Tamandua tetradactyla: one gene and its partner. The protein of the gene in region 1 interacts with the protein of each later gene in a biochemical or structural test. Links are inferred from orthologs where the notes say so. Each region holds a gene or a part of one and is shown in the gene's direction. Other genes may lie near its edges. The genes, in order: SEMA4D and CD72.

What was found.
Region 2: the proteins of SEMA4D (region 1) and CD72 form a complex in vitro, tested with the Homo sapiens proteins (2 studies listed by BioGRID and IntAct). The link is inferred for Tamandua tetradactyla from reciprocal best matches to the Homo sapiens genes SEMA4D and CD72.

The regions. Positions count from the first base shown.
Region 1 is NC_135328.1:10,163,524-10,178,418, forward strand, and holds the start of SEMA4D (semaphorin-4D), read left to right. Parts: upstream 1-6,979; 5' UTR 6,980-7,057; intron 7,058-14,895. UniProt on the Homo sapiens protein: Cell surface receptor for PLXNB1 and PLXNB2 that plays an important role in cell-cell signaling. Regulates GABAergic synapse development. Promotes the development of inhibitory synapses in a PLXNB1-dependent manner.
Region 2 is NC_135328.1:60,155,666-60,170,911, forward strand, and holds the start of CD72 (B-cell differentiation antigen CD72), read left to right. Parts: upstream 1-7,998; 5' UTR 7,999-8,153; coding exon 8,154-8,235; intron 8,236-8,348; coding exon 8,349-8,456; intron 8,457-9,068; coding exon 9,069-9,143; intron 9,144-9,837; coding exon 9,838-9,927; intron 9,928-10,306; coding exon 10,307-10,642; intron 10,643-13,140; coding exon 13,141-13,289; intron 13,290-13,852; coding exon 13,853-13,971; intron 13,972-14,685; coding exon 14,686-14,830; 3' UTR 14,831-14,835; intron 14,836-15,092; 3' UTR 15,093-15,246. UniProt on the Homo sapiens protein: Co-receptor of B cell receptor (BCR) that plays both positive and negative roles on B-cell functions. Recognizes the Sm/ribonucleoprotein (RNP) self-antigen ligand, and coligation of CD72 and BCR inhibits BCR signaling.

The DNA.
Region 1 (14,895 bases):
CTCTGAAAATGCTTTTGGTTCTTTTGAACAAGATAAGGTGCTTAAGAGCTTCACAAGTGAACAAGGAATGCCGGCTGTGCAGGGGCCACATCCTGTCCTCTGAGGCTTCCGAGAACTTGTGGACAGTCCATTAGCAGGGGTGGGAAGGGGCAGGGTTGACTGCCTGATGATGTGCATCCACTGGCCTGATTTGAAAATACTTCCCATCGCTACTCACAATTTCAGAGTTCTCAGAATAGAATTTTTCAGTGAGGCTGAGCCATGATATATTTTTTCCATATAGTGATAAGCAGGTAGCTACTATCGTTGGTGGGCTGTGGAGTTTTCATAGAAAGCCTTTGATTTCTTCTGTTGTGTGGGAGAATCACACAGAGGCATTCAGCCTTTCAGTATGGAATAGAAAGGACTGTGAATGAAAAGTAAAGGCAAATGCTGCAGACACTCACTCAAACTGAAAATAAGTGAAGCTCAATGATGAAATGAGAGCAAGGTTGCCTCATCCCCAGAAGATTTACGTGAGTAAAATCCACTGATGAGTGATTCAGACAGAGAGAAGAGAAAATCAAGGGTTCATCATGACAGCACTGAGGCCTCCGTTTTTTCTCTTTGAGGAACCCAATGCTCTTTTACATGCTCCAAGTCCCTCAATATACAAAGGGGAGTTGGGATCCCTGGGTCCTCTCCTCATCAGGTCCCAAGGTCCAGACCCTGCCAAAAAGTGAACTGGTGGCACAGAAGGTATGAGAACCCCTCAGCTCATCTGAGGCGCCGGCATGTGGAAGGACCAAAAACGAGCAGGTTAGCAGTTCCCAGGACTGACAACACACTCAATGCATGGTCAGCATTATTGCTTGCGTTTGTATAAAACCTTCTGACTTATCTGCACATAAGTATTGATCCTGGCCTGTCAGTGCTACACTGGGAGTTGTAAAAAAAACAAAACACTAAAATGTGCAGAAAGGCAACTGCCAAGAAAACTGCAAGCCAGGGTCCAACTCTTATCTAGGAACTTACACAATCGGTGAATAATAAACTTGGCTGACCTGAGCCTGTTTCCTCATCTCCATGACTACACCACTGATTATCTGCCTTTCTACTGTTCATGGAAACTCGCACTGTTTCTAAATTGGGGCTATCACATATAAAGCTGCTAGGAACATTCTTGGATATATCACTTGATGAACATAAGCACTTATTTTTATTGGGTATATGCCCAGGAAAGGAATTGCTGGGTCATAGGGTAGATGTACGTTTAACTTTAGTAGTGCTGCTAAATCGTTTTTCAAAGCTATGGTGCCATTTAACACTCGCACTAGCAATGTATGAGAGTTCCAGTTGCTCTACAGCCCAATCAACACTTGGTGGTTTCTATTTTAAACATTTTAGTAGGGGAGGAGTTTCCCACTTACATTTATTAAAACGCTAATTACACTGAGTGTATCTGGCAGTCTGCTAATTGCTCATCAATATCTATTTTGCCCTTTCTTAATATATTAGATGTTTAGCTGGATACATAGTCACTCATCTAACAACTGCATTTCCAAGCCTCACTTGTGTCTACATGGTAAGTTCTGGCCAATGGCACATGACAGAAGTGTCAGTGCTACTTCCTGCCCTTGCTTTTAAATCCAAGGAGACTGTTCTTCCTGGTTTCATTCCCTGTCCTGCAGAATGCATGATAACCCCCAAATGGAGGATGCAAAGCCACCTCCTAGTTCTGATCCATTTGTCTACCTCGGGCAATGTTATTTGAGAGATGAATAAACTTCGATCTTGCTTAAATGATTGCATTTTGGATTTATTTATTACAGTAGCAAACCTGTCCCCTAATTAATAGTCTGTGATCACTCGTTAGCCCTCTGGCTCTAACACTTCTGGACATGTTGTTCTTGTTGGTTCAGCATCCAAGTGCCCATTAGGAGAGTGCTCCTCACCCAGTTCTGTGGTTCTGGGCAGAGATTACTGATCTCACCCTCCTGCAGGCATTGGCATGTGACCAGGTCTGCCCAGTGGAGGTTCCCATGCCTGTCCAGAGTGAATGGGCATGAGACCCAATCAAAGTCCTTCCATGAGACTTGCAATATGGAAAGAAATAGTCATTGTCATCATTTTAGATTGAGGCTGCCCATGATCTTGTAGTGGGAGAGACTGAGTCCAACACCCAGAGAGAAACAGAGCCAAACAGAGAGAGAGAAGGACATAGCATCAGAAAGAAGGAAGGAGGAACCATGTTTGGGCTCCAGGATCCAGCTGTACCTGAAGCTGGACCACCCTCAGGCATATGTGAGCCAAGAGTTTGACCTAAATTTCTGCCACTTGCAACTTGAATGCTGGGAATTCAAATTCCCTCTCCCTTAAAACAGGAGTTCTTAATCTGCGTAGACTTCGGAGAATCCATCCAGATGGAATGGATGGGGGAAAATACATTTTTCCAGTAAATTTCCTTAGAAGTTAAGGATTTCTTTCAAGAATCCGTGAAGGCAACAAAGTACCATCATATTAGCAATATGTGTATCCTTTGTCCCAGTAGAAACTGCAAACATTTTCACATTACATTTTGGTTGTTGCAGATCTAAAAGTAACGTGTATGCTTATGACTACTTTAAAATTGCTAGTTATTAGACCTGCTGCTGGATCGTAATATTTACTGTGTAAATAGTGAAGCAAATGTGTCAGAGATTTAAAAATATTATGATAGACAGATTTCAATAAAATCGGTTTCCTTTTTTAATTATGCATTTCATTGTATGTGTGCAAAAGCTTCTTTCTGGAAAATGGTTTACAGACGTCACCAGGCTCATGAAGACCTAAAATGGAGACCAGTGAAGAGAAAAATATAAAGGAACAATTATAGTTTGACCTGGTGCGTTATTATTGAGAGATGTTTATATGACACCAAAGTCGCCAGGCAACACTCAGCTCTGCCTGGGGTGTGTGGGTAGCGGTCGGAAGCAGGGGACACCTCCAAGAGAAAGTGATACTTGCTGGGCCCAGCCTGAAAGCGTGAGTGGGCTTTCACCAACAGGCAAGGAGATACAGGAATGTCCCACGGCTCTGGCACCTGGTGGCATCAGTCGGTAGGGAACCAGGAAGGCATTGCCGGGTATAGGTCGGTATAGGGCATGCTGGCTCTAGTTATGCTAACAATAGGGTAGGGGTAGCAAATGAGCACTCATGTTCCATCCGTGGTTGATTTAGACTCTCCCCGGATTTGAAGTGGGGTGGTGGCAGCTTCCTTCACCGGCCCCTTGTCTGGAATATTTACAGTCCGTCAGTGTCACAGGGGGTGGCTTGATGAACCGAGCGGCGCTCTTGGAGACATGGAAAGTGCTGAGATGGGAGTGTGCATGAGGCTTAGATTATACCCCTCAAGCAGATTCAGTAGGTTCTTAGCAGTTTGATAGCTAAAATACTGCACGGGGCGCAAAGAACAATGCCATCGTCTCAGCCAGGCCCTCGTTGAGATCCTGCTGCCCGTGCAATCTTAAATTTCCAAAGGCGGCTTTACAGTAAAAAGCCCTCCAAGTCCTGTGGGGGGTCCTGAGGCAGCAATGACAGGGAAGGGTCCTGGGGCACTGGAGAGCCCAGAAGCCTCAGAATCCTTGGCAGCTTCCTTTTCCAGGTGAAGAGGCAGCTCAGATAACGAGGGGGTGCAGGGAGGCCAGTGAGGACTCTTTAATTTAGAGGGGCCGGCCAGGCTCCTTAAGGCGTTTACAGGCATTGGGGGGTGGGGGGTGGGGAGAGAAGGATGGTGACAGGGTAGGGGGGTGACAGGGTGTGTGTAAGGCCATCAGCAGGCAAATAACCGGAGAGGCATTCCTCCACATCTGAGAACTACTTTGTGGTCACATTAAAAGGCACTTTCCCAGACTTCTCTTGGAGGACGCTGGCAGGCCCAGAAGTGGCCATAGTCTCCCCAGACATGACCTCAGCCTTTTTTTTGGGGGGGGGGGAGTGGGAATGGGGGGACATTTCTCCAGGGGTAGCTACTCAATTCCCGTTGCCAGCTCACTGTGTGAAACCCTGCTCCCGGGGCCTGTGAGCTGGTCTCGGGGACTGAAGCTTCTGTCACAGGTGAAGTACAACACCTTGAGCCCTTATTAAGAACATTTCCTCCACGGCTTAAGGATTCCCCACCGGGACAAGCTTCAAACTGCTCCCAGCCGCCACCTTCATGCATAAGCTCCATTGCATAGCCAGGTCCCGAAGTAGGGAAATCGGGAGTCTCTTATGTTAGAGCAGAATGCTATCTGTGCCACCTAAACTGCGAAACCTGAGTTTCTTTTTCATCTGGGATTTAAATATCATCTTCCTCAGTGTGTGTGTTCATCCATGTCCATATGATGTAACTATTGAGTGGGAAATGCAGAATATGACCTCAGCAGCCAAACACTCAGCATTTCTGGGAAAACTTGAAGACAAGTAGGTTGATAGGCGGTCTTTGATGTGCTTCTGATTAATACTGGGGAGGGGCAAAGCAAGTGGGTCAGAGATGAAACAAGATTGGCAACCCCTCCCGACCCCAAGCATGGCAGTTCATCTTTCTATTTGTGTGCATTTGTTTAAAGTGTTCCGTAATATCATAAAATGTAAAACAACAATAAACACAAAGACAAACTGGGTAATCATGTGTGAGCTGGGTGATCACGCCTGACATGCTTGAAAGAAGGGAACCGGGAAAGGAGCCCACATTTCTGTCTCCCTTCCATGGGCTGGGGGTGGTAGGAAGTGTGCTTTCTCATTTAATTTCTTCTCGTCCCCCTTGCACCAGTCAGGAAACAGGCTTAGAGAGATTTAGCAATGATCACAGCCAGGTCAGTCACACTGACCTCTCTTCTTTGCTCAGAGCTACCCTCCCTCTCTGCAAAGGCCACTGGAAGAGCCGTGGGACATGCAGCAGATTGTTTTATACCATATTAAAGAAAGCATGGCTATAAAAGCTGGCAGAGGCTTCAGCAGCCATGGAGACGAGCCTCCTCCTTGCTGCAGAATCCTTCTGGTGGTTTCCCTGCAGTGGCCCCCCTAGTAACCAGGGGCCGGCTCCTGTGCTTTCTAATCTAATTTCCACGCATCTGTCCTCATTCTGACCTTCATAACCCCAGAGAGCAATCCTTTTTTTTTTTCCTGGACAGTTTTGCAAATATTTGAATTCCTCTGTCTTGTGCTCCATACACGGGTTTTCCAGGTTGAAGGCTCCCAGCGTCCCAACTGCACTTCCAAGGCATGCTGTCTGCTATCCTTAGACACCTAGAGAGGGCTCTGTGTTCTAGATGCTTCTGATTAGTGAAGGATGAAGGAAGCCATGCCAGTTATCTCTGGAATACCTGCATTTATTGAATCTAAGTTCATTCTTGGGACCCTACCCTACTCTGCTCCTGTTCAATTTTAATTTAAATGAGATGGGAAACATAAATCCATGGACTTCTACAACTGGAGGAGAGTTTGGAAAGGGACATCTCCTCCATGTTTTTCCTTTAGCAGTCCTGGGCACTGACGCTGATCAGGCGGAGAGTGCTTTGCTGTGCTGCTTGGGTAACCCTAGAGGAGGGGCCCTCTCTGTCAGCATGCTGGGGACGGTTGGGAGGCTGAGGCCCGAGGTCACCTTGGAGGTGGCAGAGCCATTTCCAGATTCCAGATCCAAACTCTTTGGCTGGAGGGAGGGAGTCTAGAGTCATGACCTCATCCCCGCCTTGCACCCTGGGGCACTGGCTTCGCCATCTTAGCTTCCACTGGGCCCCTGCTGGGCCCCTCATGCAGGCAGGAGGCTCCCAAGGAGAGTTCCATGTCTCTTGGACACTTAACTGGTCATTTTGAAATTGCTTCATTTTTTAAAATCCTCTGAAGTTCTGGCTTCAGTGGGCTGTGGTTCTTGGGAAAGGAGCCCCGGGGTCATCTGCAGGCGTCCTGCAGTACTGGGAGCTACTGCCAGTCTGATTCTTCCCACTTGGAGGAAATCTTGGGTGCTTGAATTGGGAACTGTGCCCTCTCCCAGGGCTGAGTTCCTTAGAGGGCCCACCAGCCCAGCCAGCTGCTTCTTAGCCAGGAGGGAGGTGGCCTGGAGGCACTTCATCTTCTCAGGGACCCCCATGGCTCCAACCCGTGGGGTGATCACAGCCATGTCTAGTCCAGGACCACCCTGGAAACCCTTTGCTGGCTAGTGTGGAAAACAATGGCCGAGTAGCACATTTAGCAGACAGTTGGCATGGAGGCCTAGACGGGCTGCAGAAAAGCCAAGACCGGAGGCCGTCGGATGCCTCACTCAAGGAAAATGGGGCGGGGGCCGGCGGCCCGGTCCTCTAGCCCCATTCAGCTGTACTTAGAAGCCAAGGAGGAAAGGTATTCTGGTTGTCCACAGGCTTTGCCCCTCCGGGCAGGTCAGGTCACCAGGAGAACTGGCACCAGGTCTTGGGAGTGGAGAAAAAGGTGGAGAGTCGGGGTCCTGGGAAGGGTGGGGCCAGGTCGGGGCCCCTAAAGGGGTAACCTGGTCCGTTGAGAGGTGGGGATGAGAAGCGGTGCGTGGGAACCCAGGCTGGATCCAACAGAGACCGCCAGAGCCCGGCCAGGGGAAGGACGGGGAGGGGAAGGGGAAGAGGTAGGAGCTGGCGGGCGGGGACAAGGTGTGGAGCGAAGCGGAGAGGGCCAGGGAGAGGGAGCGGGAAGGGGGAGGAAGAAAGAGGAGGGGAAAGGAGAGAGAGCGGGAGGAGGAGGAGGAGAGAAGGGGAAGGCGAGGGGAGGAGGAGGAGGGGAGGAGGAGGAGGGGGAAGGGGAGGGGGGAGGCGAGGGAGGAAAGGGGCGGGGGTGGGGAGGAGCCTGCCGCGCGCCCTCCTCCGCGCCCTCCGTCCCCGCGCCGGCCCCGGCGCCCTCCTTCCCCGCGCCGCAGCATCCCCCGCCGCCGCCGCCGCCGCCGCCGCCGCCCCGACTCTCCCGAGCCGGGCGTCCCGGGCCGTCGCCGCCGCCGTCGCCGCCATTCCTGGCGCGGGAGCTGGCCGCGGCCGGGGCGCGAGCACCGATTCCGCCGCCGCCAGGAGCCGCCCGGCCGCGGGGGCGCCGCTCGCAGGTAAGCGCCAGGCCGGGCGGGCTTGGCGGGGGCTTGGTCGGGGCAGGTGCGCGGGGGGCGCGCGTCGGGGCCCCTCTCCCCGGTCCCCGCCCCCCGCCCTGGCGCGCGCAGGTGGCCCCCGGGGGGTGGCGCGCTCGAGAGCCGGCCCCCGGGAGCAGCCGGCGCGCCCGGGCGGCCAGGCCCCGGCCCCCTGGGTGCCGCCGCGCCCTCGGGCAGCCCGGTGCCGCCGCGGTGGGGAACCCTGCCCGCTCCGGTCGGGGTCGGAGGAGGCCGAGGCCCGGGTGACGCGGGGCCCGCAGTGGCGCACTCAGACAGGTGGGGGCAGGTCGCGGGCCACAGCCGCCTTAGGTGTCGCTGGCGTGGCCGCACCCCCAGCGGGGCTCGGTTTTCTCCGGGTTTCGGCGGGTATTATTTTAGAAAAGCAGAGGCGAATCCCCGGTCTGGGCTCCGGGCTGCACCTGTTGCTGCAGCCTGCTTAGCTGCGGGGAGCTGAATTTACTGGGGTTTTGCCAGTAAAAACATGTAAAGGATATTTGAGCTCGTGGGTTTCCTTTTTATTTATTTTCTTTAATGTTTGGGGGCGAGGTGGGTGGGGCGATGGGATTCGGGAGGTGGGCAGTTCATTGAAAAGCCTGTTGCCACAGGGTGGTGGTGGGAGGCTGTGGGTCCCTGCTTCCTGAAGCTCTGGCCGGCTTAAGTTGCTTGGCTCTTGCGATTGAAAATCCTCCACTTTCTACAGAGCAGATTTCAGGCCCGTGGGTAGGTGGGGCACCCACGCCAGCTGGGCCGGGATTTAGGGCCTGTGGCCTAGTGTCCCTCCCTCTGTTTTGAGTCCCTGTGAATCCACTGGGTGCAAGAGGAAAGGAAGGTCCCTTCTCTGGGGGTGAAATGTCCCTGTGGTTTTATACTTGCCCCAGGCCTGGGGTGGGGGTGGGGGGAAGGGGAGGGGGCAGTGCCCGGCTGTCCTGGATGCTTGTGTGGTTTGGAAATGTCTAACAGAAAAACATGGCCTGAGCCAGGTTCCTGGTAGAGTGGTGATAAAGCCCCGATTGTCCTGTTAACGGTTGGACCACATTATGTCCCAGATAACAGCCCATGGAGGAGAATAGGGCAGGCTTGTTCCTAGCCCACCAGCACCCGTGTCATCACTCAAAGACAGATGCCTTCCCGGTTGTCAGTAATGATGGGATGGTGGAGGATGTACCCAAGATGTTTCTTGGGCAAAGGTTGTCCTCCACGAAGGCCAAACGGTCAGACTAATCAGAATTATCTGTTGTATCTCCAAGAGGCCAGACAGATCAAGAAGAGTAAAGAAGCCACAGTTACCGGAGGCAGCCCTGTCCAGGGGTCCCTCCCTTGCACCGTGCTGAAGGAATGCCAGGCTGGCACTGGAGGCATCTGACCTCTGAAAATGGGCTGTTTAATTCCCCCATCTACCAACTCTTAAGCCAGTCCAGGCTCCTGACTGTGGCACCTACAACCTGTTGAAAACTGGAGTCTTTGGAACCCCCTGATGTGCTCCCCAGTGGCCGGGTAGTGGTCCAGGTCTGTGCCAAGGGGTCCTCCCCTCGTGCCTGTGAATTACTGGCTTGGCAGCACCCGCCCTTGCTGTCTGGTGCCTTTGGAAGAAGGGAGCTGTCCTTTAGTGACATCATCTCCTGATCCTTGTCGATTGATCCTTGTCTGTCTGGTGGGTTGTGGGAGGCTGATCTGCTCCGAGCTGTCTTCCCCACCCCGGTGCTTGATGGCTGACTTTTAAGTGAGGAGGGAAGGGCTGCTTGCTGGATCCAGCACGTCGGACTAGATCGATAATGCATTGCAAAGATGAATGGTTTTCCATCCGCTGTGCTCCTGCGGTGGACAGGCTGAGTCCTCTGGCCCCTCCCTCTGGGTTGCTTTCTGATACTGGGGGCAGAGTCGGTGGGTGTGGGGTGGCTGCAGAGATTCCTCCTGCCTTGGGGGACCTGGGTCACAGCTCCGCAATTGTCAGTTAGGGCCTGTGCCCCTCACCTCTGGGTATGCCCAGGTGAGACCTGCCATGCTGTCTTTGCTGGCTATCGAAGTGAAACTGCTCCCCAGTTGTTGTTTTTAATTTATAGCAACTCATAATAAGAATTTGCTGGATTAGAAGAACTCTTAAGAGGGAAGCTGTGGGACAGCGAAGTGGACCTCTTCTTCAGGCCCCGTGCTGTAAGTCCCCAGCCCTCAGGCCATCCAGGAGAACAGGTGGCTGCAGGGTGGCTGAAAATGAACTTGCCGTCGGTCTGGGAGAAAGGCTGCTGCAGACTTTGCACTTCCCAATTGGGGGCCAGGGCACTTCTCTTTACTTCTTGATTGCAGAAGGAAGGATAGACGATCAGAAGGAAGGCAGCTGAGTGGAAGTGGCATAGTCTCCTGCCACCTTGGCCATGAGTCTGGTGCCGTCTGGCTCCTGTGGTGTTGCCCATGCAGGTCCTTGGTCTCTCCTGGGCATCCTGGGTCTGGAGTGTCACCTCAGATGCAAGATGCCCCAAGAGCTGGGCAGCGAGAGGTTTCCTGGGGACTGGGCCTAACTCGTAGCCGTAGCCAGCCTCCCTACCTGTGAGGTGCCCAGGCCGTGGGGGGAAAGTGGAGATTTATTAGAAGGAAGTAGCTGCTGATTGGTACACAAGTGGGCCTCTCCTGGAAACTGGGATGGAGTCTACAGGCAGTTCAGTTAAGGTGGCCTTTGAGATAAGATGATGGTTCACTTCCCACCTGGCCTGATTCTCCTGCATTTCAGTTTACCTGGTAGTGCACCACAAGGCGCTTACGGCCAGGGAACAGCCCACCCCCGCCTGAGGGGCCGGTCTTGTGGGGGCCAGACTGCAGGGCTGAGGCCATGGCCCCCTCCCCAATGCAGCTGCCCACACGAGCCGCCAGTGTGACCTGCCCGTTCTTCAGTCTAGATTCCTAGATACGGCCTGGGAAAGCAGCGACTGCACACGTGCCCTCATCCCCCCCCCAACTCTTCCTCCTCCTCCAGCCCGCCCCCCCACCCAAGAATTGCTTCTATATGGTACATTAGGGATGCAGAATTTGGGCAATGCTTGATAAGAGAGCTCACAGTCAGAGCAGCATTTGATCCAAGAACCATTGCTTTTAAAAATGTATGGTATTTTTGAGACCATTGGAAATTTGTTAAATTAGTGATGATTTTAAGAACTTATGGGATTCCATAATACTAATATCATAGCTACAGTATAATGATCCTCATCCTTTATTCATAGATATCGAAGTATTTGCAGAGGAGTTGACGAGATGTTTGGGATTTGCTTCAGATGAGCACGGAGTGGGGCGGTGGGGGGGTGTGGTTGGGTGTGAGTGTCCGTTCCTGGGTGTTGGAGGGTCTGGGTGTGGGTACCTGGGAGGTGATTATTCTGTTTGGACCACTTCTGTGAACTTTCAAAATTCTCCATCATAAAGAGGATTTTGCAATAACCTAATCTAATAAACACAATTCCCTTCCAAGAAACATACCATAAGATGCTTCATGGTCTGAAATAACTCAGAGGTTTGCTTTAAAAGATGTACAGACACATTAAGTGGGAACATCACTCCTCGATACCGTAGGGATCAAGGTTCGGAGGTTTGCACAAAAGCCTATTTGGACGTAGGAAAAAAGATTTGGCAGGACGTTGCATTTATGCAGCAGCTAAATATTAAATGCCTGTTGTATACCAGGTACTGCGAGAGAAACCAGGGACCCAGCCCTGAGCAAAATCAAGTCAGCAGTTAGCAGTAGAGGTGGGAGGGGGATGTGTGTGTGAGTGTGCATTGGGGGAGGGGAGCAGGAGTGGGGGGGGCAGGAGTGGGGGAGGGGAGGGGAAGGCAGGGAGGAGCAACTTTCACAACCCCCCCACCCCATTTACTTCTCCATGGTTGATTTTGCAATAATTATAATTATTTTTGGTAATGATAAAACTAATATTTTCAAAGGGCATTTCCATGAGATGATTTTGTCTCCTAGGGCCTTTAAGATAGAATTTGAATAGTAGGAATTCATATCCTGCACAACTTAATAACAGATGTTTGGCTTAAATGAGACAATCAGCGAATCACTAGTTAACTGGCCCACGGAATGTGTGTTTTGTGGGCCAGGAAGAGACAGAAGTCAGCACACCCACCACCCTCACCCCCATCAAGCAGGAAGATGGAAAGTCTGAAAGCTTAAATAACAGTATATGCCAGCCACAGAAGGGTTAACGGGAGGTAGTCTGTGCCTGATGTTGTGGGGGATGGGGGGGTGGGGCGGGGAATGGGGGTGCCTCTCAGCTCAGACACAGCCCTTATTTCGAGTGGGGAAAGATGTTCCCTCGTTGAGACTTGGAAACAGAAATGAAAGGCAAAGATGGGCTCAGAGTCTGTTCTGGGCACAATTCCCATTGCCAGTTGGATAGCTTAGCACTGGGAGTTTCATTCATTTTCAGCGGTTGCTTTGTTACTTTTCTCCTTTCATTTAGTAGAGCCTACAGTAAATACCCCCCCCCCCCAAAAAAAAAACAAAAAAACAGTGATACAGATAGCACAGAAGTCAGGAAACTAGAAAGTGAAAGTTGCCTGGAATTCTACTTTTTCTTCTTTGCTTTGATTTTCCTGTTTGTCCTTCTGCAAGAAATTAGAGGTATTTTAATATCCCGAGCATAATTTGCTTTGATCCAAGATGTGGGTACCTTTGCTTGGCTGTCTTGACTTGTGAAATGTTTGGGCTGTGTGTGGATGTAGGAGCACGCCCCTGCTGGAGCTTGTTAGTTGAGTCTCGTTAAGTCTGTGCTGTACAAAGGCCCGACTGGTCCCATTTGTTCTCACTGTGCGTTTGGGCATTTGTTTCTTGTTGTCATTTGTTAGTGTTTGCTTCTGGCCCAGACTGGGGACAAATAAATTTAGTAGATTGAAATGCTAGTGATCAATGAAGGGGAGCAGTAAGGGGCATGGTATGTATGAATTTTTTTTCTGTTTTCTTTTTATGAATTGATGCAAATGTTCTAAGAAATGATCATGATGATGAATATACAACTGTGTGATGAAAAAAAGAATGTTCATATTGTATGTTGATTGGTTTTATTAATAAAAATTAAAAAAAAAAAGTATTTGCAGACTGGGGACAGCAGGGCCCTGATGTTACTGCCCGAGAAGCTGGTGGCCTCACTCTGCAATTGGGTCGCCGGTTGGTCGTGAAGAGTATTTAATGGCCGTGTTGTCGGTGAACAGCCTGCCCATAAATGTTAGTTGTCCTCTTTGCCGTTCGAACCAGGTCCATTCATCCTTTAGATCCTTCTCCAAGAAGATGTGGGGAACCCATCCCACTAGAAGCTGGCTGTTGGGGGCAGTCCCAGTTCTTGGCATTCTCTGCCCTCTGTGAGTTTGTATCCGGTTATCCCCCCATCTTGGGTTCGTGATTGGAAGGAATCTGGTAACCTGTAAAGGCCCTCCCCACTCGTAAGTGGGCAGCTCCACAGAAGTTCATCGCTTCCCACCGCCAGTGTTCAGAGAGCACTGTCTCTGTGCACGGGACTGGGAGACCGATGGCACTCCCACTTGGAGCTTCAAATCAAGTAGAAGTTGATGGAAGGCCAATGGGGGATGGGATACATAAGCTTATGCCATGAGTTGGGAGGTGATAGTGCTCTGGAGAAAGAAAGTATGGGGTCCAGACTCTTAAGGGAGCCAGCAGCTTTGAACTTTGAGACCAGGTGATCAGGACAGGCCTTCCTGAGCCAGTGACATGGAGGAGGTGTGGGGTGTACCATGGGGTCACCCGGGCTGAGGGAACTTCAGCCTGGCACAGGCAAGGAGATCCAGGAGACGGGTGCAGCTGGAGCAGAGTGGGCTGTGGAGAGGAGGAGCAGCAGTTCAAGTGGGGAGGAGTGGTCAGATCCCAGGATATTCTGAAGATAGAGCAAACAGGACTTGCTTACAGGTTTGATGACAAGTGTTAGAGCCATAGAGGAGCCCAGGATGATGCCAAGATTTGTGGTTTAGGCAACCTGGAAGGATGGAGTCACTATCCCTTTGCAATGGGGCAGTTTGTGGATGGAGAAGTTTTGGAGCATGGCTTTCAGAATAGTACATGGATAGCTGGGTTGACTCCCAAGTAGAGATGGTGAGGAGTTGGTTGGATAAATGAGTCTGGGTTTGGGAAGAGAGGTCTGGGTTGGGAATATAAACTTGAGAGTTGTCTGTATGGAGGTGATATTTTTAAAACTGTCAGTAGGAGAGCAGCAAGGGAGTTGGAGTAGAGGGAGATGAGAAGAGGTCCAAGGACAAAGACGGGACAGGAGTCCAAGAAGATGTGGCCAGTGAAGTAGGAGAAAACCCAGGGGACTCAGCGGTTGTCCTGGAGGCCCCATGCAGATCTCGCATCAAGGAGGAAGGACCAGTTGGCTGAGAGGTCACGTAAGGAGGAGTGAGAATTGACCATTGGTTTGGCATTGGATCGACCTTGACCAAAGCAGTGAGGCCAAACTTAACAGAGTGAATTTAAGAGAGAAGGGAAGGAGGTGGATTTGGGATGGCAGGAGTGGATAACCTTTTTGAGAATTTTGAGACATGGAGTAAATGGCCCATTGGGGTAGAGAGAAGGTCTGTTTTTAAGGTTTGTACCTGGAGGTGAGGAACTACCAGAGAGGGGAGAATGGACGAAGTGGAAGAGAAGGCTTAAAATTGCCAGAGATACCAAACTGGTGAGAAGAAATGGGTGGGATATTGTGACAAGTGGAAGGGATTCCACTTCATGCCAGTGTCCTTCCGGAAGCTTCTGTTGAGTTTGTACGATGTGCTGGTGACTCTACTTGATCTCGGAGTCCACAGATGAGAGTCCTGCTGCTCAGGCGTAATAATCACTATTATGGTGACCTGTGACAGCTGAGACGTAGGGGTGCAGGTGGGGACCTGGGAGCGGTGACCTGAGGATGGAGCGGAAGGCAAACCTGGAAAGATGAGTTTGCAAGGCTCCAGGGCAGAGTGATTTCCCTCCCAGCTGAGAGAACAGCTGAGCAGAGTACAAGGAAGACAGAAGTGGAGCAGGTACACTGTTACGGTGGGTGCTGGGGTCCCAAGAGGGACACGGTGGAGCAGAGTATACAAGGAAGGCGAAAGTGAAGCAGGTACACTGGTGCGGTGGGTGCTGGGGTCCCAAGAGGGACACGGTGGAGCAGAGTATACAAGGAAGGCGAAAGTGAAGCAGGTACACTGGTGCGGTGGGTGCTGGGGTCCCAGGAGGGACACGGTGGAGCAGAGTATACAAGGAAGGCGAAAGTGGAGCAGGTACACTGGTGCGGTGGGTGCTGGGGTCCCAAGAGGAACACGGTGGAGCAGAGTATACAAGGAAGGCGAAAGTGAAGCAGGTACACTGGTGCGGTGGGTGCTGGGGTCCCAAGAGGGACACAGTGGGCCTGGTCAGATACCAAGACTGAAGGGGGGCCGTGTCCTCTTGAAGAGAACATGAGGCTTGTCAGGTCACACCAGCTGGGCTGTGAGCATTTTACTTTTTATATTAGCCTGGCATTTTGCATGCCACAAGCCCTGGTCATTAGTGAGAGCCTGGAGTCCATCTACAACCCTGACTCCTTTCATTGAGCTATAATTCATAAGCCATACAGTTCACCCATTTAAAGTGTAAATTCAGGGGGTTTTAGTAAATTCACCAGTTGTACAACCATCACCACAATCAACTGTAAATATTTTCATTACCGCTGAAAGGCATCTGATAACTGTTACGAACCACTTGCCATTTCTCCCCAAACTCACACCTGCACCCCCAGCCCCAGACAACCAGCAGCGTCCTTTCTATCTCTCTAGATTTGCTTATTCTGGACACC
Region 2 (15,246 bases), about 50 Mb from region 1:
GGAGAAGTTTTCAGTTCTTGTTTTCTTGTTTCTTGCCCTACTTGTATGGTGCCTCCCCCTCCCCCCCCACCCTTAGGGGGGCCCACTTAGGTATTATGGACCCCAGCCGGATTTTCCCAGATCAAACTGTCCTCCTGTCAGGAGGAAAGTGTCACCTGCGTCGGTTTTCCCTGAGGGTGAGTTCCAGCAGGTTGAAAGACTTTCCTGTGAAGTCTCTGGGCTCTGTTTTTCTTATCCTGCTCAGTATGTGGTGCTTGTCTGCCTGCAGGTCCCACAAGCATAAGATGATGCAGTACCTTTAACTTTGGCAGACTCTCCCTGCTGGGGGCGTGGTGGAGACAGAGGAGAGGTTGTAGGCTGGTTTTAATTGCTTCAAATGACCAAGCCCTGGTGTCTGAATTCCTTGAGGGAGGGATTCCACCTGAGTTGGGCTTCACCCCTCCCCTGGGGAAGGCACAGGCTCCAGACAAGCTCTCAAATGAGCTTGTTTCTGCCTATGCCTGTGGCAGTTGCAGCCTGAGAAGTCCTGCCACTGTATCCAAAGGCAGTCAAGCCTTTGTAGAAACATAGCCACAAAAACCTTTGTTTCCTTTTTTTTTTCTTTTTCCATCAGCCCCGCCCCCTTGGCGCCAGGGTAAAAATGAGCGACCACTGCTTTGATGAGGTTCAGCTGAGCTGGGGGCCTATTTTTAGTAGTCAGAATTTGTGAATTAATTCTACAATTGGTGTTTGGTTGTGCTCAGCCTCTGCTGCTGGTAAAGTCCCTTTCCTTCCTCTCTGGGGGGCTCACAGCTGGTCCAGCTGGTCCAGACTGGGGTATGCTGTGTGTCAGGTCACTGATGTGACCCCAGGGGCTGTTCTGTACTGTTTCTGGTTGTTTAGTAGTTGTTCTGGAAGACGAACTAAATCACACAGTTTGCTAAGCCGCCATCTTGGCCGCTGCCCTTCCAACTTCTGTTTACTTATTTTTAATCCATATGTTTACTCATCTGTTGATAAGATAGGTAAAAGGAGCATCAGACAGATGGTTTTCACAATTACACAGTCACATTGTGAAAGCTATATCATTATACAATCATCTTCAAAAAGCATGGCTACTGGAACACAGCTCTATATTTTCAGGCAGTTCCCTCCAGCCTCTCCACTACATCTTGACTAACAAGGTGTTATCTACTTAATGCGTAAGAATAACTTCCAGGATAACCTCTCGACTCTGTTTGGAATCTCTCAGCCATTGACACTTAATTTTGTCTCATTTTGCTCTTTCCCTGTTTGTTTTCCCCCATTTGGTCTAAAAGGTTTTCTCAATCCCTAGATGCTGAGTCTCAGCTCATTCTAGGATTTCTGTCTCACGTTGCCAGGAAGGTCCACACCCCTGGGAGTCATGTCCCACATAGACAGGTGGAGGGTGGTGAGTTGCTTGTCATGTTGGCTAGAGAGAGAGGCCCCATCTGAGGAACAAAAAAGGTTCTCTTGGGAGTGACTCTTAGGCCTAAATTTAAGTAGGCTTAACCTATCCTTTGTGCGGTTAAGTTTCATATGAACAAACCCAAGATTGGGGGCTCAGCCTATTACTTTGGTTGTCCACACTGCTTGTGAGGATATCAAGAATTCTCCACTTGGGAAGTTGAATTTTCTCCCTTTCTCACCATTACCCCAAGGGGACTTTGCAAATACCTTTTTATTCACTCTTCAAATCCTTCTGGGGTCTATCGAGGTATCACTCTGGACAAACCTACAAAATCTCATGTCCCACTCAAGGTTCCATGCACTTATATGTTCAAATAAGCTGTCCACACAAGCTATATAAGGAAATGCACTTGTCAAAATACAGATTTTGTACCAAATAAACATTTTTTTTGCTTTAGTCTCACACGTAAGTTAAAGTTTTAAAATATTTATTACCATCTACTTTCAGCACCCTGCAGTGTTGACATTCCTTTGTTCTTCCTCATGCAAAAACATTTTTTAATTTGCACATCAAAATAAAAATATAAAAAAAAATCAGGGGGGACCTCTGAGAGCTAATACAGAACATGCTCCCTCAGAGTTACCCCATCTGAAGGGGAGGGTGCTGGCACACTTATACACCAGCTCCCTCTAGTCACTCAGAGCTGCTCTTGGGGGCACTGATTCTCCAGGACCCCTGGCCTGCCACGTGTAGGGGAAGAGCTCAGCTTCCAAGGGCAAACCTCCAGGCTATAGAGACATGGCGCAGGCAGTTGGCAGCTGGGCTGATGGGCACCGCAGTACAAAGCCTGAGGGGTCCCAACTGTGGCACTGACAGCGCCCGCACAATCCATTCATTGCTCCAACCCCCTCCTGCTGCTCATTATGTTCACGCTGCCCTATCACTGCTTCTTCAAGGCAGTGACCCATCACAATTGCTTAAAAAAGAAGGAGGAAGAGGAAGAATAAAAATTTGCAAAAGGAAGGCTAGTGGGACAAGCTACACTCCCTGCTGCTGTCTGTGGTCGATTCTAAGGTGCTACTGGTTGACAGTCATCGTTTCCCTCTTCCACTGTCCAGTGTAGACTTCCCTCAACCCACTTCCAAGGCCTCTGAGGCCTGATGGTGGTGCCCTTTTCAGGCCGTGGTGGACACAGTTGCCCATTCACGGATGTATGTCTGAGCATAGAGCAAAGGAGGTGCCCATGAATCCGCTGGTGGGCAGCTGCAGTCCTCCCACCCCCACACTGCAGCAGCGACTCTGTCTTCCCAGGTTCAATGAACCCTGCCAGGAGAATCACTCCCTATTGACTGAGAGACAAGCAGCCAGGCACACTTGCAAAGGTAGAGAGGACTGGACTCGCTAGGCAGAAAGAGGCTCCTTCTGTGCCTCCCTTTCAGTTTCAGCTCCATTGCTGAGTGATCGTTTCCACCTTTTCCCATTTAAATTCCTGAGTGTGAAACTTCTGTAAGCTCACATTAGCCCTGATTTCCAGGCCAGGCCATGCCCTAGACCACAGGCTAGTCTACAGACCGGCCAGCCTTGGGTCCCTTTTCCCCACTTGGTTATTTCAATCAGCTGAGGTCTGAGAGTTTGGGGCAACATAATGCAAATCCTGGGGTATAGGATGGCGTCATCTGCAGGGGTTCACCCCCTTCAAAGAGGCTGTAATTGTGGCTGGTACAGTGTCTGACATTTTTGGTAAAGGAGCTGTAGTTTTTCCACACGCTTTCTTAGTCTATGCGTTTAGTTCATAATAAGTTTATAGTCCACTGAACCTAGCTTCCTAATTTGTAAATTAAGTGGGTTGGGCTCTAAAATGTCCCCCACCCTCAAATTTTTTCTACATAAACTATTGTTAGGACAGGACTCCCTCCATCCTATGCTTAGGTACTTTTCTTTTAACCCCTAATTTCATTTTTCAATAAATGCTAGCCATTGTCATTTATTAAATTATTACACTTCATTCTTCTTAAATTTCATTCTGTGGTCTGGAGTCATCTTTTTGCCCTGCTGCAGACATTCGAATCTTGAGTTTGCCTTTCAGATATTTGCTCTTCTTTTTAGCTTTGTGCCATCAGTAAATACAAATGTGTTTTCCATGTCATCATTCAAGACGGGACCAAGGAGAGCCCGGAGGCAAGTCACTGGAGACCTAGCAGCACTCTCTGACTTCAGGAATTCAAAAAGTTGCAGGGGCCCCTCTTTCTCTCCCTCCTGAATCTGAAGCTATGGTTACGGACATTTAGAGATGCCTTTGCCACAGTCTAGACCTATTATGTTTCCGGCAATCACACCATCGACCGATATCAGACATTACCTGAATGATTGCATATTTTAAAGATGAAAACCTTGGAAATTGTGACTTGTCTTAAGTCACATACCGTGATAAGGCTGGTTTCTTTACTCCCAGTATTGTGTTCTTTCCATTACATCATGTTTCCTCCACAGTTCAGGGAACTTGTCAAAACATTGTATATTAGTTTTCTATTGCTGCTATAGAAAATTACTGCAAACTTAGTGGCTTAACCAAGAAGAATTTACTCCCTTACAGCGTGTGTAGGTCAGAAGCCCAACGTGGATCTCACTGAACTACAATCAAGGTGTCTGCAGGGTTACATTCTTTTCTGGAGGGTTTAGGGGAAAATTTGCTTCCTTGCCTTTTCCAGCTTCTAGAAGCCGACTGCGTTCCTTGGTTCAGGGCCCCTTCTTCCATTCTCAAAGGGAGCAGCGGGTTAGTTGAGGCCTTCTCGTGTTGCATCTCTCTGACCTTCTTCCATCATCGAGTCTCTCTCTTCCCACAGCCAGGAAAGATTCTCCCCTTTCAAGAACTAATGTATCAGATGGGCCTAAAACAGGATGAGCTCCGCATCTCACGGCCCTTAACATAACCACACCTGCGTTCTGCCATGTAGGTAACATGTTTACCAGGGATTTCAGTATGCACATCTTTGGGAGGCCATTATTCTGCCTACTACACCCTGTCAGTAGGTCAGGGGGTAAAGTAGTGAAGATTTTCAGAGATTAAGGAGACTTCCCTGACTTCCTGATGTTGGCTGGACTTCACCAAAGTTTATGTAGATGAACCCTTACCCATGTTGCAAATTCTTTCCTGATGCCCTCCTCTTGTGTACCTTAACAACCCATTCCTTTTTTTTTATCATCACAATCAACTTTTATTTCTCTTTTTTGTGAAAAATAACATATATATATAAAAGCAGTCAGTTTCAAACCACAGAACTACAATTCGTTGTAGAAAAGATTTCAGAGTTTGGTGTGGGTTACAATTCCACAATTTTAGGTTTTTACTTCTAGCTGCTCTAAGATACTGGAGACTAAAAGAAATATCAGTTTAATGTTTCAGCAATCATATTCGTTTCTAAACCCTACCTTCTCTGTATAACTCTTCCATCACCTTTGATCTTTCTATCCCACTCTTTAGGGGTATTTGGGTTATAGCCATTCTAATTTTTTTCATTTTGGAAGGGGCTGTCAATAATATGGGATAGAGAGATGGAATTAGCTGATGTTTTAGAGAGGTTGGGCCCTTTAGGTTTCAATATTTATCTGGTCAGAGGCCCATTTGGAGGTTGTAGGTTTCTGGAAAGTTACCCTAGTGCCTGGAACACTTGTGGAATCTTATATATTGCCCTAGGTGTTCTTTAGGATTGGCTGGAATGGTTTTGGTTGGAGTTTGGCAAGTTATAATAGGTAGCAATGTCTAAACTCATGCTTCTTTTGCAAGAAAGAGAAATAATCTCTGAGGTTTAGGCCATTATTATTTTGGCTTTCTGTCACATGCAACCAATCCTAACTGTAACAACGCATTCCTTGTAACAAGCAGTGAAGAGTCCAGGAAAGGGCAAGAAGCGGCTTTGGTGTTTGTATCCTAGGGTCTCAGATGATATTATGGTCCTGGGAAAGCTAAGGTATGCAGCACTGAACTTCAACTCTTAACCACCCCCAGGGGTTCCTGATATTTGGACAGTAGGAAATTACAGGTGTCCTTTCTGATGACCAGCCTGGAAGGTCACGTGAATGTCAATATTGCAAAGATCCCACACGGCACATAGGCGGAAGGTGACGAACTCTGCTTTCACATATACCCTATTCACAAAGCAGGCTATAAAGTGACCTAAGACAGAAGGGAATGCCAAACATCATGAATAGACAGGTAATCATCACCTAAAGGACTAAAAAGAAGAGAAAGATAGGCTGAGCCTGATCGAGACATCCAAGGCAAGCTCCTTCTTCTGGGGCTGGGTGTGTAATTAAGCTCACCCAGTTTCATCCGAGTACCCACTTCTTAAACCTGTTGAAGAGTCAAGGCAGGCCGCATGCCCACTGGCTCCTTTAATCAGTGCATACTGGGAACTCTGTTTTGGCATTTTATCTGGCATCCAGATTATGGTCACCTGTGCATCTGTTTTGAAAACGGGGACATTCATTATGTTTAGGGGATTCCTGCAAGTGTTCTTTCAACGGATTCACACACAAGCTGCCTGCCCCTGCCCCCACCTCCATAACCCACAGACACAAGAAGACTGTCCCCACCTGTCCCTGCTGCAGCTGCTCTATGCACTCCCACTCACTCTCATGTGTCCCTGAGGTCCCCAGGGAGTCACCAGCACACAGCCTCTGTTATCTGGGGGCGGCTCTGATGGGGAGAGGGTGCGGGGTGGAAGTGGGGGGGTTGCTGGAAATCTTAATCAAGCAGGGACCGTTAACAGCTGCACTGACACCTTAGGAAACAGTGAGCCTTAAAAAGGAAATACTTGTAGAACCTGTGGCCATGACCTTTTAAGACTTTTCTTAAAATGGCTGTCATTCCCTGCCCCAGAAGAAAAGAACATCTCTCAAAAGCACCCCTCGGGCCCCAGAATTCTGCAGGTTTAACCCTCCAGATAGGCTGTGACGCAGCTGCTCACCTAGCACAGGCACTCCTACCAGACCGCAAAGAGCTGGCACTGCGCGGGGCACACTTGCGCACACAGGCACACCCCTGCCTCTCCTTCAGACACATTTCTCAGGCGACAAATGTGTGCTTCTGTCCCCATGGGCACTTTCCCCAGGGCGGGGCGGGGCTGCTGGGCAGCTCTCCGGACAGACCCACAGGACCCCTTGCAGCGCCAAGCCACACACCACCACTCATACAGTATGAGCTGTTAGCGTGCCATTAGGACCTCTTCCCCCTTCCTTTTTCTCCCCACAGCTGCAGAAGGGGTTTTTGAGGGGGCAGATGTCATCCGCTGGGGTGGGTATTTTTTCCCCACCTCCACACCGCCGTCTTGTCCCAGAGTTCTTTCCAACCCCCAGAAGGAGGCCCTGTTGGGGTTCCCTGGAATGGGGCACGCTCTCTTAATAATGTTAGGGAGCACCTCGGCACCACTGCTTGACACCCCTTCTCCCCTCCCTGGCTTTCCCTCTCTCCTCCATCAGCTGGGCCCTCAGCACCTATGAGGCCTCTTAGCCACCGCATCCTCTCCACGGTGTGAGGAGGCAACGCTGGATTTTTTTTTTTCCGGCAAGTACTTTACTAGGAAAATAAGGAGGAAACTAAAACCAAACCAAGAAAATATCCTTGCTTAGTCCAGAGTCTGCATGCCCAGCATCCCGCCCTGCTTCCTTTCTTTGCCTCACCTTTAAGAAACTGCAGGAAACTTTTTTCCTTGCTCTCCCACGAGGGTGTACGAGAAGAAGGCAATGCGACCACAAGCTTTTCCAGAGGGACACGAGCAGTACTGCTGCAGGTGCTGAGGTCCCTGTGGTTGTTTTTTTCATCCTCACCCCCAGCCCAGGCCCACTCCTGAGCCTCTGCCTCCCAGGCTCTGCCTGTTGGGTACTGCACGAGTTCAGATGTAGGGACACAGAGGATGACACAAGGCTGCAGGGGCAGGCTGGGAAAAGGATGAGGCTGACCAACCACAGTAGGGCAGCAAAGACCTGATGGGGGACTGGGGACGCCGTCAGAAGAGAAGCATTTGGTCCCTGGTGTTCTGTATCTGGGACGGGCTGCCACATTCCCGGGGAAGGCTTTTCCGTGACAGCAGCCCTGTGTATGTGTGTGATCTGGGAGGTTCTACAGGGCTACAGCAGGGAGGGAGCCCCCAGAGTCCCCAAGTTGATGAGGGAATCCACCACACAAAGGAGTCTCTTTCTGGGAAGAGATGCACTGGTGGGAAAAAGACAAGGTTCCCCCCCTCCCCCCACACCCCAGGCAATGACTGGGGATATTCTCTGGGATTATTTGGGCACAAGAGACTATAAATCATAGGTCCCAGCAGGCAGTGCAGCCAGGAGGGGAGGCTGGGGTAGATCAGGGCAGACAATCAGAAGGAGAGCTATTTGGAGCTCAGCATCACCAAAGTGGGTCTAGGATGCACGAAGAGGGAACACAGGCAGGATGCAGGGACAGATGACAGGGGGCCTGGGACAGGCCCATCCTCTGCTCCATGCTCTGGGCCCAGTTTCCCCTCCCCAGCCCCTCTGGCCCCGGCCCAGACATACCATTGCTTCACTGAACCCATCTGTCTGAGGCTTGCTCACACCTTCCTCTTTTGTGACTGGAAGGCATTGGGTAAAGTGCCAAGCTGAGCAGCCACAGCAGAAACACATAGCCTACAAGTGTGAAGGGACAGAGAGGAGAGTGGCAAAGGAGGCTTGGGGACAAAGGACAAGGCAGGGAGTGGAAGCATTCAGGACCATGGCTGAAGCCATCACCTATGCAGACCTGCGGTTTGTGAAGGCTCCCCTGCAGAAGAACGTCTCCAGCCGGTTAGGACAGGGTAAGGGTGGACGAGGCATCTCCTTGATTCTGTCTGTATCCCCATCCTCGTTTATGACCCCGTCCCCACCCCACAGACTCCACCCCCCTGAGCCCGGCCTGTCTCCTTTCCAGACCCAGGAGCTGATGAAGATGGGGAAATCACCTATGAGAATGTACAAGTGCCCTCAGCCCCAGTGGGGCCTCCGAGCTTGGAGCCCTACGGACTAGGGGACAAAGCAGGTATGGGGAGCCCAGGGGATGTGTGCTTGTGGGGGACTGTGTCTTGGGCTGGGAATTCCCACAGGATTCTTGGGAAGGTGATACCCTTCCGGGAAAGGGAAGGAAGTCTTAGGAAAGATGAGAATAAGAACTGGATAAGGCAGTTCTGGATAAGAACCAGGCAGAGAATAAAGATCCAAGGGGCTAGGAGGGAGACCCCAGTGGGGAGATGAGGGATGTGGGGAGTGATGGCGTGGCCCTGCTGTGAGTCACAGTAGAGAGATGAAAGGGAACCGGAGCGGGAGGAGAGCAACCTCAGAGAGAGGGTGGTGGTGTGGAGATACGGGGATCCCTGAGGGAAAGATCAAGGGACACGCAGTAGGGAGATGAGGGGGACCCCGGGGAAAACACAGTTGAGCCCCAATCGAGAGATGAGAGTCCCCAGGGAGATGAGAGTCCCCAGGGAGATGAAGAACTCCTGAGGGTGACAGAGGTGTCCCAGAAGATTCATAGAGTGCAACACAGGACACACTGCGGTCTCAGCGTAATGGTGGTAGTGAGGGGAGAAGAGGAACGGAAGAAAGGTCCCTCTCTGGTGTTTCGCATCTACAAATTGCAGCTGGTCTCCTTCAGCAGGGGTTAAATCAGAGCAGCCAACTAAGGCTTGGAGCTCGATGACGTCACCTGTTGCCGGGCGGAATCTCCCGGGTGAGTATCACGCCCTCCCCACCCCGCGCGCCCGTGACCTGCTGCTGGCCTCGCGCGCGAGTACTTGGGGGTGAGGCCGCCGAAGGCCCGATCGCTGCGGGAACATTTCCCCACTTCGCAGACTCTGAGTCCCAGGGAAAGAGTCGGGGGGTGGGGGTGGGGGGGGGAAGGCGCTGATGCCTGTTCTGTCCGGGCTGGGAAAGTGCTGGGCCCCATAGTGTGCAGGTATGACCTCGGGAGCGAGCCCAGGGAGCAACCCTTAGCACCACCCCTGTAACATGGTGACCCTGTTCCCTTGTCCCCTTACGCCCATCCTCATGTCTATCATTTAGACATGTGGATCCAGGCTGGACACCGTCCCCTACCCCCACCCCCAGCAGACGATGGCCCCAAAACCCGCTAGTCTGAGGCTTCGTGCCTCCTCCTACCAGATAATGCCCCTCAATTCTCTTTATCAGCAACAATCCCCAGCTCTTATTCTGAGGGATTCCTGGGGCAGGGGGGAAGGGTTCCCAATCCCTCCCCTGCCTGTGAAATATTCCCACAGGCGCACAAAAACCACCACACTCCTCCCTCATCAACCCTGCACCCCTCCTGTTAGGGATACTCTTTCTTCATGAATGCCCCCCACCTGCCAGCCCTTCACTGTGTAACTTCCTGGGACTGACTGCCCTCCTTCCACTGTCTTCCTAAGGCTGTGCAGCCGGCATGCAATACTTCCTTCTGGGCCTGCTCCTCACCTGCCTGCTCTTAGGGGTGGCCTCCATCTGCCTGGGAGTGCGCTGTGAGTACTGGCTGCTCTTTCATCCCCCATCCCTCCACCCCCATTGCCCACTCACTTCCAAACAACTTATTCCCTAAACTCCCCAACAGCCACCCTTCCTCAGCAGGGCCCATAGTCGTTACCATCACGTCCGTCCTTGTCCTCCTTAGCCTTTGGTCTGGTTTCTAGCCAGGTCTGGCTTAGAGCACTTGTGTCTGCCTAAAGGATCCTTACCTAATCCAGTACCTCCTTAAACTTTAGGCAGTCAAATCTTATATTTCAGCCTGTTGTGCAATAAGTTACAAGAAGTTAAAAAAAAAAAAAAAGAGTGGATGCTGAAGTCTCAGGATACTGGGGCGCAGCTGGAAATGCCCTCCAAATTACTCTCTGTGGCCAACAGATCTGCAAGTATCTCAGCAGCTTCAGCAGGTCAACAGGGTTCTGGAAGGCACTAACAGCAGCCTGCGGAAGCAGCTCTACCTAAAGATAACTGAGCTGGGGCAGAGGAAACAGGATCTACAGGAGTTCCAGAAGAAGCTGGCCCAGAGTCAGGAAGCATTACAGGCAGAACAAGGGAGTCACCAGGCTGCAGAAGGGCAGTTACAGGTCTGCCAGTCCAACAGGGAGAAGACAGAGGAGATTTTGCGACGTGAGGAGGGGCAAAGGAACAACTTGGAGCAGAGGCTAAGCAGCACACATGACATTCTGAAACCCTACTTCAGATGTCCCTCACCAGGTATCTGCTCTGGAGAGAGGAGAGATGGGAAGGGTCTGCTGGGAGGGATGTATTGAAGCAAGGGGACACTAGTCCTATCTATCACAGGGCGTTGAGTTGATCAGGAAGTGGGGAGTGAACCAGAGTAGTGGCTGACATGAGCTGTGCAGCTTTAGCCAACAGGGAGAAGGATGAAGCTACATGGTGCCTCTAGGAAGACCACATGGAGGGAGAAGGAGGGTGGCAGCCAGCAATCCATATCACACTGTCCAAAGCAGCATGGTAAACTCATCTGGCTTTACATGTCAAGGATCTGTGAACTCCCTGAATTTGGATGTGAAATTGGTTGTTTACACATTTTTCCAAAGAAAGGGTCCATAGCTTTAATGAGGTTCTCCAAAATCTGAGACCCCTTCTCTCCAAAAGGTTAAGAATTACTGACAGATGAAGTGCAGCTGGTGGTAGTGCAAGGCAGCTGAAGTTCTCACGCACGGGTGGCATGCACAGTGAGGTGGGTGGCAAGTACTGTGGCCCATTTTGAAAGCATCCATTTTGAAAGCAGGAGTCCAGCCTGTATGTGGGAATGGGGTAGAGAGATACTTACAGGGGAGAGTGTGCCAAAGCAGGCTGACATTCTAGGCAGGATGCCAGACCTAAAGGGACGGGAATGTTTATGAACTGGTTATCTATGGTTGGGGTTAGGCTTGATCTTGCTTGTGGTGAAGCACCAGTAAGATTATATGCAGACACCCCCAGCCCTGAGTTCTTAACTTCCTTATCTTGTATGACCCCCGACTTCCATACCAGTGCTGACACCCTTTCTACAGCTGCACCCCAGTCCTTACCACCTGAAACTGCTCTCACTGAAAGGACACTTTTAGACTTCCACACTGATCACAACTGCCCACGTTTCCAGGCTTTCTCTACATTTCTTTGACCTCACTGGGGCCTCCAACTTGCTGACTCCCCTGTGTCCTCCCTCTCCGCCAGCTCCCTCCTGCTTTCACTTCCCCTGTCCGTCTTGGATTACTGGGACCCATCACTTCAACCACTCTTTGGTTCCATTGTCTTTTTGGTGCATCTGACTGGCAAAATCTCAACCCTGGATGAACCCGACTGCTTACCTTGCTCATGCCCTCACCAGGTGTTGACAAGTTGTGAAATCGTTCTGCTTGGTGCCACCAAAACGCTACTCCCCAACCTCATCTGGGGTCTCAGCACTGCCTGGCCTCCCTTGCGGTGGTCAGTTTGCTCACTCTAATGACTTATTATCCTACTACTTCCCCCCCCCCCTTTCCCCCTTATGCCTCAGTCTCCATCAGAGAGGAGAGGAGTTCCCTCCATTTTCCACCATCAAATCTATATATACATTTGCATTTTTACCCCTCCCCATCTCTTGCATGGATGACTGCAACAGCTTTCTGAATGTTTTCTCTAAATACCTCCCTCCCTTCCCATCCATTCTTCATATTGCAGCCAAGATCATCTTTTAAAAAGAAAAACCTGATCATATTATCTCAGTTAAGAACATGTCATCCCGGTTCATTAATCACATAAGCAGTTATGGACTCTATATGACATGTCAAGCCCCGTGCGCAGGCACTTGGGATATAGCTACTGAACAAAACTCCTCTATGTGAAATCTTACATTGACTTTCTTCTCATAATATAAAAATAAAGAAAATCCTTACCAAGACTTCCCAAATCCCTCCCAGCATACCACTTATTCCCTTACCCTCTTTGATCTAGCCACACCTAACTTCTTTTTGAAGTTGCGGTAGGACAGAAGCTCAAGGGGATAACTTGGTGGGGGAATTGAGAAAACGTAGACAGAGGAGAGGGAGCTGGTGGAGAGGGAATGGTTTGAGTGGTGGCGATAGATAGGACCGATGGCCTGAAGCGTTGTGGGGGTGGAGGGGATCAGGCTCACAGGTCAAAGTGAGGCTGTGCTTAAAATGAAAGAAGGTGTGTTTTTTTATGGCCTGTCCGGAGAAGAACAGAGAAGAGAACATTTTTGAGATGGAGAGAAGGGAAATGGAAAGAGATCATATTATGTATCTGACAATTTCTGCAAAAACAGGAACCAAGGTCGTCTGCTTGTGAAAGAGTGGAAAGGGAAGGAGGTGGTTAGTGGATTGAGGAGCCAGGGAAGGCTTTGAATAAGCAGTGGGAAATGCTTTAGGGTGCTAATGAGATGAATGAGAGGCTACGGAGCAATAAGAGGGAGTCCAGGATAGTAACACCAGCCCTGTTAAAAGAAATCTCCCAGATTGTTAAGGAGTAATGTTGAATGTTAAAGCCTTTTACGAAGTATACACAGGTGTGGCATTTCCAGGAGAGGCAGAAGAAAGATTGAAAATTTCAAAGACTAGGAATCAGTGAAGGTGCTGAAATTAGACTTAGAGGAATACTGTTAGCAACCAGATTGCTGTATAGTCATTTTCAACCCCAAACAGCATTGAGATCGCCCTCTTGGGACTGAGTCTGGACCGTGTTGTCACACTCTTTATGTTTTTTAGAAACTTGCTGTCCCATGGGATGGATACTGAACAAGAAAAGCTGCTTTTACCTGACAACTACCCGGAGAAATTGGGAGGAGAGCCAAAATCATTGTAAATCTCTGTCCTCTGACCTGGCCCAATTCAAAGATGGGTCTCATTATTATACAGTAAGAATACCCTTACCTGAAGACTGTAATGGGTGCTGTTAGGGAAACGTTTTCCCTCACTTAGCCAGGAATGGCAGTGCACACATGGCATGCCTGCCAAGGCTTCCTATTCCTTTTCCATGACAGATATTGATGGCCACAATCCTCTATCCCTGAAAGTGGCCTCTACTAACTGATGAGAGGTGGCATGAGAGTTGAAGCATGAATCATCCCTACTTTAGCCTGTTTCTCATCCCAGCTTTCTGGGGTTTTCTACTCTCTGGTCTCTTAGGCAGAAAGTTCCTATACCTGGGGGGCTGAATCAGGAGAATTAGTTCCCTGTGGCCAAAACAGCCTCATAAGGCTCCTTCCCAAAAGCTGGCAGAAATTCTTCCCCAGCTGGAAGGTGAACTAAAGACTGAGACTGCATTTGCAGGGTGTCACTCAAAGCCCCTGACAAGCAGATATCCTACACTGATGATGGGCACAGCCGTGTTGTTGAAGCCATAGGTCTCCCTAGGGTGCTCTTTTCTCCCTTACTTCTCAGCACTTCCCACACACCTCTGCTCTGACTCTTCCCTCAGAGTTCTTACTACAGCTCCTTAAGTCTGGTGATTTCACGTGAAGATGTAAGTGATTCATACTGGGTTGGCCTCAAGCTGAAAGACATCTGGGGGTGGACCGATGATCCATCATACTTTAGGTAAGTTTGTTAGGAAGGGCATTTTCAACTCCATATCCTGTCATAAGGACATAGTAATGTCTGAGGCCCCAGGCCCAAAAATCTTTCACAAATCAACATTGTAATTACCTATTTGCCTGTTTCTACTATTTGATTATTAACTCGAGGGAATTTTTGTTCCCTATTCTATCCTCAATACCTAGCAGTCCTTGGCCTATACTTTTCTTTTTTTTAAATAATTACTAGATTGGGACCCATGTCTTCTTTTTCTGAGAGAAACTAAGGATTGAGCTTCACTTTAGATCAGGTCTTCACAACTGATGAAGAACCCTGGTGCCCTAATTTAACTTCCCTAGCCTTGACAGACACAAACTGAGGTATTTTCTCAGTCGGGACCACTTGGGGCATTACAACTGCTCCAGGGAAGCAAGAAAGGGAGCAGTGGGGGCACTTCCAGAGGATCAACCCTAGGGACCCTGAAAAGGGGTCACCTCCTATGTACTCTAACTGGAATTTTCAGCTTTAAGACCTTGAGTGATATTTCCCTCTCCTGCTCCTTAAGCCTCTTCTGGTTGCAGTCCAGCCATCTGTGCCTGAACCAGCCCAGACGTGGCAGGTGTCTAGGCATTTGGGACTTAAGATTGGGGTTAGGTTATATGGAGGGCAAGGGCACAGAAGGGAGGATGTGATAGGAGGGGTCTGGAGCTTATCCAGTTCTATTTCACCACTGGTCAGGACGGACAAGCAACACTCAAGATGTGCTAAGGCAGAAAAGGAAGGGTGGCCAAGAGTAAAGCCAGAGAGATGTGTATCTCTTCTTCCCTGCATCTGTGAGATGGCAGCTTTCAGGTATCCAGATGAGGACTACTCATTGCACTGAGCTGCGTAAGTCTGAGAGATGGGGACACAGCTTGGGGAGTCTGCAGGGAGAGGGACTCAGAGCAGGGGCCAGTGGTCAGAGGGAGAACTTGGTCCTGGGAATGACAGTCACTTCATGGCCTCTAAGAGCTTGGCCTGCTTGTGTGGGGCAGTGCTGGGAAGTGAGAGGGACAGGTAAGACCTGGAACTGAAGGGAGGGTAAGCTGGATAAGTATTCTCCATGACAGTCACCTGCAGAGCTCACTGATGCTTTACTTTCCCAGATACGCATGCCAACAAGAGCCTGTGCCTTTCTCCCCTAACCCGTGGCCTGCAGATCTGAAGATCATCTCCCTCCAGCATTCCCTCACTCTGCCCAGGCAGTGACCAGGCAAAGGCTGACCCATGCTCAGCACTTCTAGCCAGCCTGCTGCCTGC